Caenorhabditis elegans: one gene and its partner. The protein of the gene in region 1 purifies or fractionates together with the protein of each later gene. This does not show direct contact. Each region holds a gene or a part of one and is shown on either strand. Other genes may lie near its edges.

What was found.
Region 2: the proteins of hex-5 (region 1) and myo-1 fractionate together in Caenorhabditis elegans (co-fractionation; one large-scale study listed by BioGRID). This does not show direct contact.

What each region holds. Positions count from the first base shown.
Region 1 is NC_003284.9:14,901,318-14,907,410, forward strand, and holds hex-5 (beta-N-acetylhexosaminidase), read right to left. Parts: upstream 3,945-6,093; 5' UTR 3,912-3,944; coding exon 3,818-3,911; intron 3,719-3,817; coding exon 3,633-3,718; intron 3,589-3,632; coding exon 3,503-3,588; intron 3,208-3,502; coding exon 3,036-3,207; intron 2,990-3,035; coding exon 2,798-2,989; intron 2,715-2,797; coding exon 2,528-2,714; intron 2,474-2,527; coding exon 2,338-2,473; intron 2,292-2,337; coding exon 2,197-2,291; intron 2,154-2,196; coding exon 1,979-2,153; intron 1,936-1,978; coding exon 1,720-1,935; intron 843-1,719; coding exon 776-842; 3' UTR 564-775; downstream 1-563.
Region 2 is NC_003279.8:7,263,836-7,268,860, forward strand, and holds the start of myo-1 (Myosin-1), read right to left. Parts: upstream 3,223-5,025; 5' UTR 3,101-3,222; coding exon 3,032-3,100; intron 2,452-3,031; coding exon 2,179-2,451; intron 1,802-2,178; coding exon 1,459-1,801; intron 1,407-1,458; coding exon 1,302-1,406; intron 1,250-1,301; coding exon 1,082-1,249; intron 1,035-1,081; coding exon 1-1,034. UniProt on the Caenorhabditis elegans protein: Muscle contraction.

The DNA of each region.
Region 1 (6,093 bases):
TGATTTCATAACGGTTAGCAAATATTCTGCAAGCTTTTGAAAATTTTTCATCTTTTTGTCAAGAATCTGAAACTTTTTCCAATCCAACACGATCAAAAATAATACTTGTTGAGCATACTCCTAGTAGTTTTTCCCAGGTTGGCAAAACATCCTAAAATTAGAACTACACATGAACTATCTTCAATTAATTTTTTTTTTGCTTAAAGGTGGAGTACCGAAATTTGAGACCTTTGTTTTTTTAGACCCAAAATGACCCAAAACTACCGAAGTTTGTAATCACGTTTTGAAAATTTTTCAAAAAAAAGTTATGGTGGTTCAAAGTTTTAGAAAAAAAAGGCTGATTTTCAGTTAAAATCACAATTTTTTAAAAACTTCTCGGTGTCACAGCGTCTGGAGCTTAATTTTTATTGAATTATCGCTTTTTAATAAATATTTTGGTTTTTTATTACTCGTTTATTCGTTGAGTTAAGTGCATTTTCTGTCAGTGGACCACAATCAAAAGTTACATTTACTTTGTGGGAATACATGATTGAATTTTTGTTTACAATGTTCTTACAACTCTTATCATTTTGAAAAACCAAAATCATTTTATTGTATTCAATCAAAAAATTAAAGCATCCTGAAAACATGAATCATGGAATTTGAAATTTCATAGAAATGAGAAGTTAGAGTAAGGGTTGGACCAGGCCGTGTAGTAACGTCTAGATTGGCAAGAATACACATTGAACGTAAAGCCGTATATCATCGAAATGGCAAAATAAATTACACCAACTGTTCACCTCCGGAACCACGGACGCGGCACGTAAAATCGTTTTGTATCAATGTTGTCGACTGACTCTTTTCTGCAAATATTTAATTGGACATGATGTATTGAATTTTCAATAAAAGTTGAATCGGTGTAGTTCTTTAGTCTTGGCACTTTCTCTAGTAAAAAGGAATTTGAAGAGTGTTTATTTTTGCGGCGTCAATTGAGTGAATCAACATGTGACGTTAACAAAAGTTTAAGTATCAATTTATGTCGCTGCACTTTTGATCTTGCCGCCAAAATGTTGTAACAAAAACAAGAAGTGTTATGTAATTAGATTAATCAATTAGAACAACATAAATTATTCACTTCAAATTATAGTATAGAACCCCTGTTTAGTGTTTTTTTACGTTTGATTGAAAAAGTAATATCAACCTTATGAACTATAAAAAAAATATTAAAGGTGGAGTAGTGTCAGTGAAGATTTTGCCTGAATGCACTTATAATGATCTAAAAAACCGAATATCATAATAAAGTTCTCTAAAAAATTTTAGATTTTTCATAATTTCCGGTCAAAGTTTTGGCAAATTGCCAAGAAATGTCGCATGTTTAATAAAAATTAACAAAAATAGTTTAAACAAAATTAAAACATAAAAAATGTCGAAAAACAATTTTTTTTGTTCAACTTCCAAAATTATGAATGGCAAAAACTGAGTAATTGCCACTTTTTGACAGTAAATAAAAAACTTTCAAAATTTATTTTTAAAGTTTTATCATGATATTTGGTCATTTTTGGACCAAAGGAGTGATTTTTAACAATTTCCCCACTGGCGCTACTTCACCTTAAAACTTGGAAACTGTCGCTTTTTGATCAAACAGTAATTTTTGGAACTGTTGTTAATTTAATTATATGTTGTTTTAAACTAGGTGAACTTAAAACTCAAAAACATATTTTGTATGCTCAGAACTCTCACCTTTTTTGTAGGTCCTCATAGAACGGCTGGAAATAATCTGTTTTGAATTCTTCAATCACATCCGGGTAAAACACTTCACTAAACGAAGTGCTTAAACTATTCGAAACCGTATCCAACTTTTTCAGCGTTCTTTCGTAGGCCTTCCCAATTGCGTCGATGTAATATGGGTTACTAGCTGATATTCTCATGTGTGACGATTGCAACCAGCCGTTTTCCCTGAATTATCGACGTTTATTCTGAAATGCTATTAAGATAGTACCTATTGTGAACCCACGTGGAGTTTTCAAAAAATGTCTTTAACTGCACATAATCTCTTATTGAATCCCGTACTCGATACCCGGGAAATCGGCACCGATCCGACCCAGCCACAAGCTGATCAAGTGTGGTGGTTTGTGGACAATTTAATGCCTGTATTACTTGTTCGGCAGACTCCTCTGTAATATAAAATTGAAATGGTGATGTTTGAACTTTTCTTACTGTCTATATGAAACTTTGTTAAAACAATCAGGTTCAATGCCAGTGATACCATTGAAGTTGGCCAAAGTTCACAGAGTGATGCAAAGTGATCATATCTGAACGGTGGTATATCAATCGAAAGTTGATTCTGAATTTGATTACCTTTGCCAACCAGTGATGATGATAGAGTCAAAGGTCGTAAACTGTGGTTTATATTTTTCATTTTGAAGATACCATTCTTTATTGTTGAGTATATATGGTTTCAAGCGATTCCAATACCGACTAGCACCATCCGCGCCTGAATTAAAAATGAGATTATAATTATTATTGTTGGCAAATTATATACAACTACCTTTAAAAGCACTGCCACCCCATACTTCCTTAAACGAGTAGGACATATTTTTCCACATCTCTGAAGGTAAATCATTGTCCAAGTTAGCGGTATATTTCCATACGACCGGTATCACAAGATTGTCAAGGTTGTATTCTTTGATAAGTTCTAAGGGCGCACTTTTCAGTTCGTCGTACCACATTAACACCTGGAAAAACTGGGTTTATGGGGTCGGAACTGGGTTGACGAGACCGAGACAAAGATGTACTTTTGACAATACCCCCGACATACCTTTGTGGATGGATATTCTTCCGTAATGTTAAGCGACACCATTCTCAAGTGGTCGAAGATCATACGCAACTTATTGTTGTCATATTTGACCGGCAAAATCTCGCGATCCGCATCACATATTCCCACTTGAAACGCTTCATCTGCGCCAATATGCACATATCCAGTATTGAAGTTGGAATGTATTCTCATTAGCTTAATAATATTACGGTTCTTAAAATTTTGAAAGTGTAAGGCTTACTTGGTTAACCGAGTCTAAAATGATATCCAAACTTTCCGGGTTCCCAATACAAGCTACCATTGGATAACGCTCGTCTTCTCGCAGCACTGAGTACTCTTCAGTTTTCAGTATCCATTCCATATGGGCAAGAGTTTGAACCAACGGGATCACTTCAAGTTGTAACTGTTGTGCACTGAAATGAAAAATATTGCACATAGATATATTTGATGAAATTTAATCTGGAACATTATCTTTAAAGTGATTATCAAAATATCAGATGTTCAAGTATTGTAAACAGTAAAAAATAGATTTGAACTGGAGTATCAATTGTTAATAACATTCAAAAAAAGCAGCGTATGGCCCAGAAGTTTCAAAACTTGAAATTTATGTTTTAAATGTAAAGCTTCAATAATCAGAATACTCTAATAAACATGATATTTTTGAAGACATGGATTTGTAAATTTTCAATACATGATTTCAAAACTTACTGTTCCAATACACTAATCACTTCCTCTTCGGTATAAGCATTTTTATTAACAACTCTAGAAAGACCTCCTTGATATGGGAACATGTCCTGAAATATTAATGTCAAAGTGTGACTTTTTCATATAAACTTACTTCCCACTCTAGTAACACTCCTGTGGCACCTAACCCACTAATTGTGGTGAGAAGCTGCTTGAAGTAGGCGACTTTTGGAGGAGCACCTAAAAAGGACAGTTGTAAACGTTGTTATAGTTATTTAGTTATCTAGGTATAGTTATCTAGACATTTAGACATTATCTAGACATATAAACAGAATTCACCTTTCATATCAAAATGAACTATAGACCTTTGATATCCGCATGTTGCGAACTGTACAATACACGCTAAAATACAGATTGTCCTTCGAAGTAGCATAGGCTTCCAAACAATCTGAAAAATGTTGCACATAATCATAATCAAAAAAGATTAAAATGAGCGGAGCTGCAAATGATAATGATACATATGTAGGACGTGGTTGGCAGCTGGGAAACTCCCCAATAGTTAAACAACGTAAAGTGGCGAAAAACTGAAAACAGTGTATAGTTTAGGTTTGCAAACAAACCGCGGACTGATGGGGGGGGGGGGGGGACGACTAAAGAAAGAGTATCGATTGGCTTGGTTACAAGTGTAGGGTACTTGAGTAAGTACCTTTAGGAAAACATTTAATATCATTAAACCTGACTGATGTTCGTCGAAAAGTAGTGATAATGGGGTTTTTCTATCTCTCCACTCTCCCATTCTTTCTTTTTCGCGTTCTCATCATTTTTGAACAAAAATCTCGAAGTTGGAACCTAGAACCTAGAACCAAAAACCGAGAACCAGAAAAAAACGTGTTAAATATAGAGAAAGGTAAGGAGAACTGAATTTTTGTGTAAAAATAATTCACCTCTCCCCCCTCCCCCCATATATCCTATCAACCCGCGCGTGATACCCAATTTCCCACCATAGCCAAAAAAAAAACTAGAAAAAACTAAGAAAAGGTAACTTGATACGTTTCAAGTAATGGTTTTGAATTGATCCTTCTTATACAAAATACTACTACTTGTCCACACCACAATAGAGCGGAACACAAAAAAAAACCCAAAGAGCGAATCAAAGCAATGCATATTGTCAACAATGAAACGGGTATTTGAAATAAAACTACTGAGTGAGTGAGTGTGAAAAAAAATGACAAGAGAACTGACCGCAAAAAAACAATTTAGACTTTTTTGTGTAGAAAATTATTGACAGGGGGAGAGAACAAGATTTGAAAATGCAAGAAAAGGGAGAAAACCCCCACGTGCGTGAGATATCAAGTTTTTTCTTTCACGCTTCATCTTGCACTTCGCACTATTTTTTCATTCATGATACAATTGATAAGAATATCTTAAAGGTGAGAAATTGAAAGAGTTGTTATAATATATTCGTTCGACTAGTAATATGTACAATATTTATAAAAAGAAGTAATGAAACCTAATTCGAAATATAATTTCAAAACTCTGCTAAAGTTTTAAATTTTTGGAAACAACTTTTGACGAATTACCAAATTGCCAAATATAGCCAAATATGCGAAAAACTTGAACTCTTTGAGGAACTTATTATAGAATAGTATTTGCATGTTGAGAGTCCTACCGAGTTTTATAATAACTTTCGCACTGTAGAAGTAGTATTAAACAATTTTTCCACACTCGGTTTCAACCGTTAATAATTCCACTGTGTTAAAATAAATGAAATTTCGAAAATCTTCACAATTTATTAAATGAAAATTATACAGATTGTCATTTTTAAAATTGTAAGTATCTTCAATAAAATGTTCAACAATTACCATAACACAAAGCCCCCTTTTAAATCAAAAATCTATTCTTGAACTACTGATTATTTTTCAATTTTGTGCTAGAAATGTATTGGCTAAAGTGAAAATATATAACAATAAATACATATGAAACTTGTAAATTTAGATAGAAAACACACAACTACACATCAATGAACAAGCGTTCCAGGCACAAAAAAAATTGAAAGTGACTAGCTAAATAGTAAAACGAGAGTTCGGCCATCTTCGACCCACCGCAAATTTACTTTTTAGCAATCTTGAGGTTGAAACACAAAAAAAGTTACACTAAAAAAAATGAACGTATTGTTTTGTGTCTCTGTTGGCGTGGAGGCTGAAACTAAAACTGTTACAACGCAAGAACAAAAAATCAAGACAAGAATTGCATTGTTTTGAGGCTTGAGACAAATAGGTTTGTGACGGAAGAAGAGACGCCACTGCTCTCAGGCTTAGTGCTGGTCACAGACTGGTCGGACTGAGAGATCATTTTCGAAGATCAGAAATTTGAAACGCACATTTGAAACACGCAATGTTATGATGTTTGATGACAGCTAGTTTGAGATGTTGACAGCACGGAAGTTGAGCTTGGATAGAGTTTGAAACATTTTTTTTATTGAAAGAAAGCGTCAGGCTATGGAAATTCCAGGAAACGTTTTTTTTTTTTGACGTCCGTACATGAGAAATGAAAATGTTATCAAAATAAAGATCATGGCTAATGTTTTGATATTCAAAAAAAATGCTGTTGAAAAG
Region 2 (5,025 bases), on another chromosome or scaffold:
CATGAGCTTGTTGAGAGATTCTCTGTACATCATGGATACAGTCATGAAAGATCCAGACTTTCCTCCCTTGCGACCACCTCCGGCCTTAGCGGCGGCAGCAGCTTCTTCTTGGGTGGTGTAATCTTGCCAGATTTCGACAAGAAGGTCGTTCTTCTTCGAAGCCTTCATGACGGAGACAACGGTGTCGTTGAGAGGATCCTTGTTCTTCTCGAGCCAGTTCAACACGTTGTAACGGACAGTTCCGGCGTAATGCCGCATGGCGAAGTGAGCCTCTCCTTGCTTTCCCTTTGGTGGTTTTGGCTTTTCGAAGTTTGGATGCTTTCCAAGATGTTGATCGGTAAGCTTCTGGGCAAGAGTCATGTCAGTAGCCTTTGGAACAATACACTCCTCATCAAGCATAGAGATGATACCGAGTGGCTTCTCAATAAGCTCGATACAAGCTTGGAGATCAAGTCCGAAATCAATGAATGTCCATTGGATTCCTTCACGGGCGTACTCTTCCTGCTCAAGAACGAACATGTGATGGTTGAAGAATTGTTGGAGTTTTTCGTTGACGAAGTTAATCCAGAGCTGTTCGAAGGAATTGAAGTCGAAGATTTCGAATCCAGCAATATCGAGTACTCCGATGAAATAATCACGATCAATTCCCTTTTGATCAAGAGTAAGATTACATTTCTTGACAAGCCAGTGGAAGACACGAGCGTATAACCCCTTAGCCATGGCTCCAATAGCCCAGTGAACTTGATCAACGTTCTGTCCCTTGGATACCCATTCGGTTCCGACCTTGACTCTTGGAGACACCAAAGCCTTAAGGAATTGATCGACATCAATTCCGTACATGTTACAAGCTCTCTCAGCTTCATCTTGGCCATCTGGCTCGGCTTGCTCCTCACGTGGGCGTTGCTTGAATTTCATGTTACCCATGTGCATGTGAGCCGACATGAGTCTATAACAATCCATCTTCTCGGTGGGCGAGAATTTGAGAACATCAAAGGCCTCGTCGGTCAATTGGAACTCCTCAGTGTCATCGATTCCTGGAATAAAACAAGTTAATCTCATTCTCCAGAAATACAAAACATACCATCAATGAGCAACTCAGCTTGAGCAACAAACCAATAGTTGGAAATTGGATGGTTGAGAAGAAGCTCGTCACGGAGTTGTGGCTTAAAATCTGAGTAGATTTGGTAGAAGATATGGTAACAACGCTCTCCTGGAGCTTGACGGATGACACGAGATTTCTCGAGAAGATCTGAACAATTTACGATTTTCGTAATAACTTCTTATCATTATTATCAACTTACAGTGTTCAATATCGCAGGAAGCAAGAGTTCCGTGCTTGTTGAAGTGAATACGGATGAACTTTCCGAAACGGGAAGAATTGTTGTTACGGACAGTCTTGGCGTTACCTAAACAACCAAATTATCAGACAAGTGTTAATTTTTTAATTTATGTCTGTACCGAAAGCTTCCAATACTGGATTGGTTTGAACGATCTGGTCTTCAAGGGTAACTTCCTTCTCTCCCTCCTTCAAAGCAGCCTTTTGTGAAGCTCCGACGGTGGCAAAGTAGCAAATAACCTTCTTTGTGTTTTCAGTCTTTCCGGCTCCAGATTCTCCGGTAATAAGCATAGACTGATTCTCATGGTCTTGAAGCATGTAACGGTAGGCTTGATCAGAGACAGCGAACAAATGAGGTGGCATCTCGGTACGACGCTTGCCCATGAACATACGAGCAACAGAGTCAGTGTAAATTGGGAGACGTTTGTATGGGTTGATGACAACGCAGAAAAGTCCAGAGTAGGTCTGAAAATGGGCAAATTGGAACATTTTGTTTCAGTCAATATCCCATTTTTATAGAACTTACTTCTTTAAATTTCAGTAGTATTCAAATTTAGTTATTTTTTGGAACGATATTTTTATATTCTCAATACTGCCTTTGTTGAATCACATATTTTTAGTACCATTCCAATTTCAGTCCAAAATTCCAATATAAATTTTCTCTTTACTCACTGTGCACATTGAGCATGACTCTCTTTGTTTCTCATCGTCTGTCTCGATCCACTTAAGATAGCATTTTGCCACTTTTGCGTGGGCGCACTATTTGCCTATCCAACTACGCATTTTCGCAGATCTTTTTTCCGTGTTTCTATTTGAAGTTTTTTGAAACTGAAAAAACTTACATAGATAAGCATAGCAGCGTAACGGGAACGCAAATTCCACAGAACGGAGGCGTCATTAAGGAAAGTCAAGTTGGACATGTCTTCGGTTTTCTCGAACTTTGGTGGATTGACTTCTTGAACGATATCCTTCTTCAAAGTTACATCTTTGCCTCCGGCGGTAACGATAACAGTATCGGCCTTTGGTCCTGGACCCTTAATAACTCCCTCAATGTATCCTTCTTCGGCATCTGGAATCCAGACGTTCTTCTTCGAATCGTATGGGCGGGATTGATCCTGTAAAATAAAAAAAATATAAAAATTAATTTATATTCATACATAGTTATAAAATAATTATTATCCTAAATATCAAAACGGTGAAGTTTAGAAGCTTTAAAAATAACGATCTACCGAAAAACCGGTAAGAATTTTAAGAGATTGAACCTTGAAAATATGTTTAAAAAAGTAGCCAAGAAACAATTTTTAATATTTTGCTGTAAAAATGCTCACTTAACCACTTTAAAATAACTCTATTGTAATTGAAAAAGTTTCATTTTAAAGTTTATCAGAACATATTCAACAAGTAAAATAAAGATTGAATCTTGTTCTAGTTGGAAAATTAAATTGAATTGTTTCTATACTCAAAATAGATGAAATATTATTTGTCGAGAGAAGGACAAATTGGGAAAATACGGTATTTTATTAGGTTCAAAACTGAAGGAACAATTCGTTATTAGAAGTGTATAAAAAGCAGCGACTTCAGATAAATTTCGAATATTTTGGAATTTGAGAAGATTAGGATTTATGAGGAGAAAAAATACGTCGAATGTAAACCTAGGAAAAAGTAGAAAGTAAAATGAAAGAAGTAAAATCTTACCGCGAGCTGTTGCTCTCTCGACCTTTTCAGGTACTGCCATCCTGGGTCCTTCTCGTGTTCGAGCGACATTCTTGATTTGTTTCAGTGGAAATTAAAACGAACGGCTAATTGAAAAATGAGGCTAAACAGGTGGGTGACTTCTTCTTTTTCTTCCTACTGCTGCACTGCACACAGCTCCACACTACTGTGCTCTGCAGGGACGGATAATAGTTTGGCACACACAAGAGAGAGCTTCACTCGGCACACTTCATAGGGCGGAGCAACTCAAACTCCCCCTCATCTTCCTCTCTTGCTTAGCGCCCGTGCGCAAGAAAGGGGGCTCTCCGATATCCACACAATGAACTGTTGCCGAGAGCATCAAACGTCTCTTGGATGTGCATTGTCCATACGTTTTGAGCTTTTGCGTCGCCAGTCCAAGTACTTTATCTTTCAGGTTCATCGAAAGAGTATGTTAAATTGAGAAACGAAGAGATTACTGTAGAACTTGTTGAAAAAATCAGAGGAGGGGGTTCTTTCGGAATGAGCCCGCGCTTTTTTGAGCACACATTATTATTGGATAGAGACATACGTAAGAGATTTTTGAGAGTAAGCGCTTGGAACTTGTGGGAGTAGATAAAAAAATGTAGAAAAAAAATTAAGGGATTCATTCTTAGTTTACTTATATTTGTATAAAAAATTGGAATCAGTGATTTCAGTAACCTGGACCAGCAAACTGGTCTTATTTTATTATTAGAAACAACACTATTAGAACATTAATGAATACTGTGTAAGAAATCCGAATAATAATAATAGATCTAAATCGGATTTGGACACAATTATTTAGAAAAATTTTAAAAAAAGCGACGTTTTGAGTTTAAAAAAATATTTTTGCTTCCATCGTGTTCTTTGAAGTACATTCAAAGTTGGATGCTTTGTCGTTGAAAACATTTGTCTACATTAAAATTCAGAAATCCATCAAAAAATTTAACATGAGAAAATGTTATATAGAAACTGTGCTGCCAAATAATATTCAATATAGTGTACCTTAATACCTCAAGCAATTTTATAAGTATTTATTTTTTTTGTCAAACCATGATATTCAACCTTAACGTTTTCATTTAAAAATCACTATTTTGTATTCGCATAGTTCATTCGCGATGTGCGCATACTCATTTCGATTGAGGACCGGTACGATATGTGTTTCACGAAAACGAGCATCCGCAATGCACTCACTGCGAGGCGCGTTTGGCACATTGTGGCCGACTTCGTTGGGGATGTGTGCCACAATATCACTGCTGCGAAGATCTCTCTGGACATATTATGTGCTGATCAGATATTAGTCTCCCAGCTAGGAATTAACTTTTCAGATTATTAGTTATAGATTGTTTGAGAAACCTGTTTTTTTAACTGTTGCAAATAACGTTTTTTTTGTAGCTTAACCTAACTTTCATATCCATTCTCTCCAAAAATGTGTTGTAATAATGATGAGAGACCAAGTGGCATTGGTGAAGGAAGTTTCACCGAATCTCTCGACTTTTTTGTGCCATGTCTTTGCTCCCCCATCCCACACTCGGATACTTCTGCGCATCCTCCGCTCGCCTTTTCTTCGAATTTTTCTCGTTTTTCTAATAGTAATATTTGCCCAATTTCTCCCCCATCTATATCTCTCACACAGTATTTGTATGTGTGTGCGTAAATGTGTGTGTGTCTGTTTCTTTTTGAGATTTTCGCTCCTCTTATTCATCTTTGTTCTCGGGGCCACCCCCTGAAATTCAAAGTGAACACGGGAACACCGATCAAGTATGTACATCGACCAAGAATTGAAATCATTTTCTCCTAGTTAACAGTCTGGAAACACGAAAAGTTGAATTAGTTTGTTTCTCAGCAAATTGAAATAAAAAATTAAAGTTTCTAAAAACTTTTAAGAAGACTCTCGAAATTTCTAAGATTTCTGTGACATGTACCATTCTTTTTCCTTGTAAGTATTGCTGATCTACTAGAAAATGTTGTTTCAG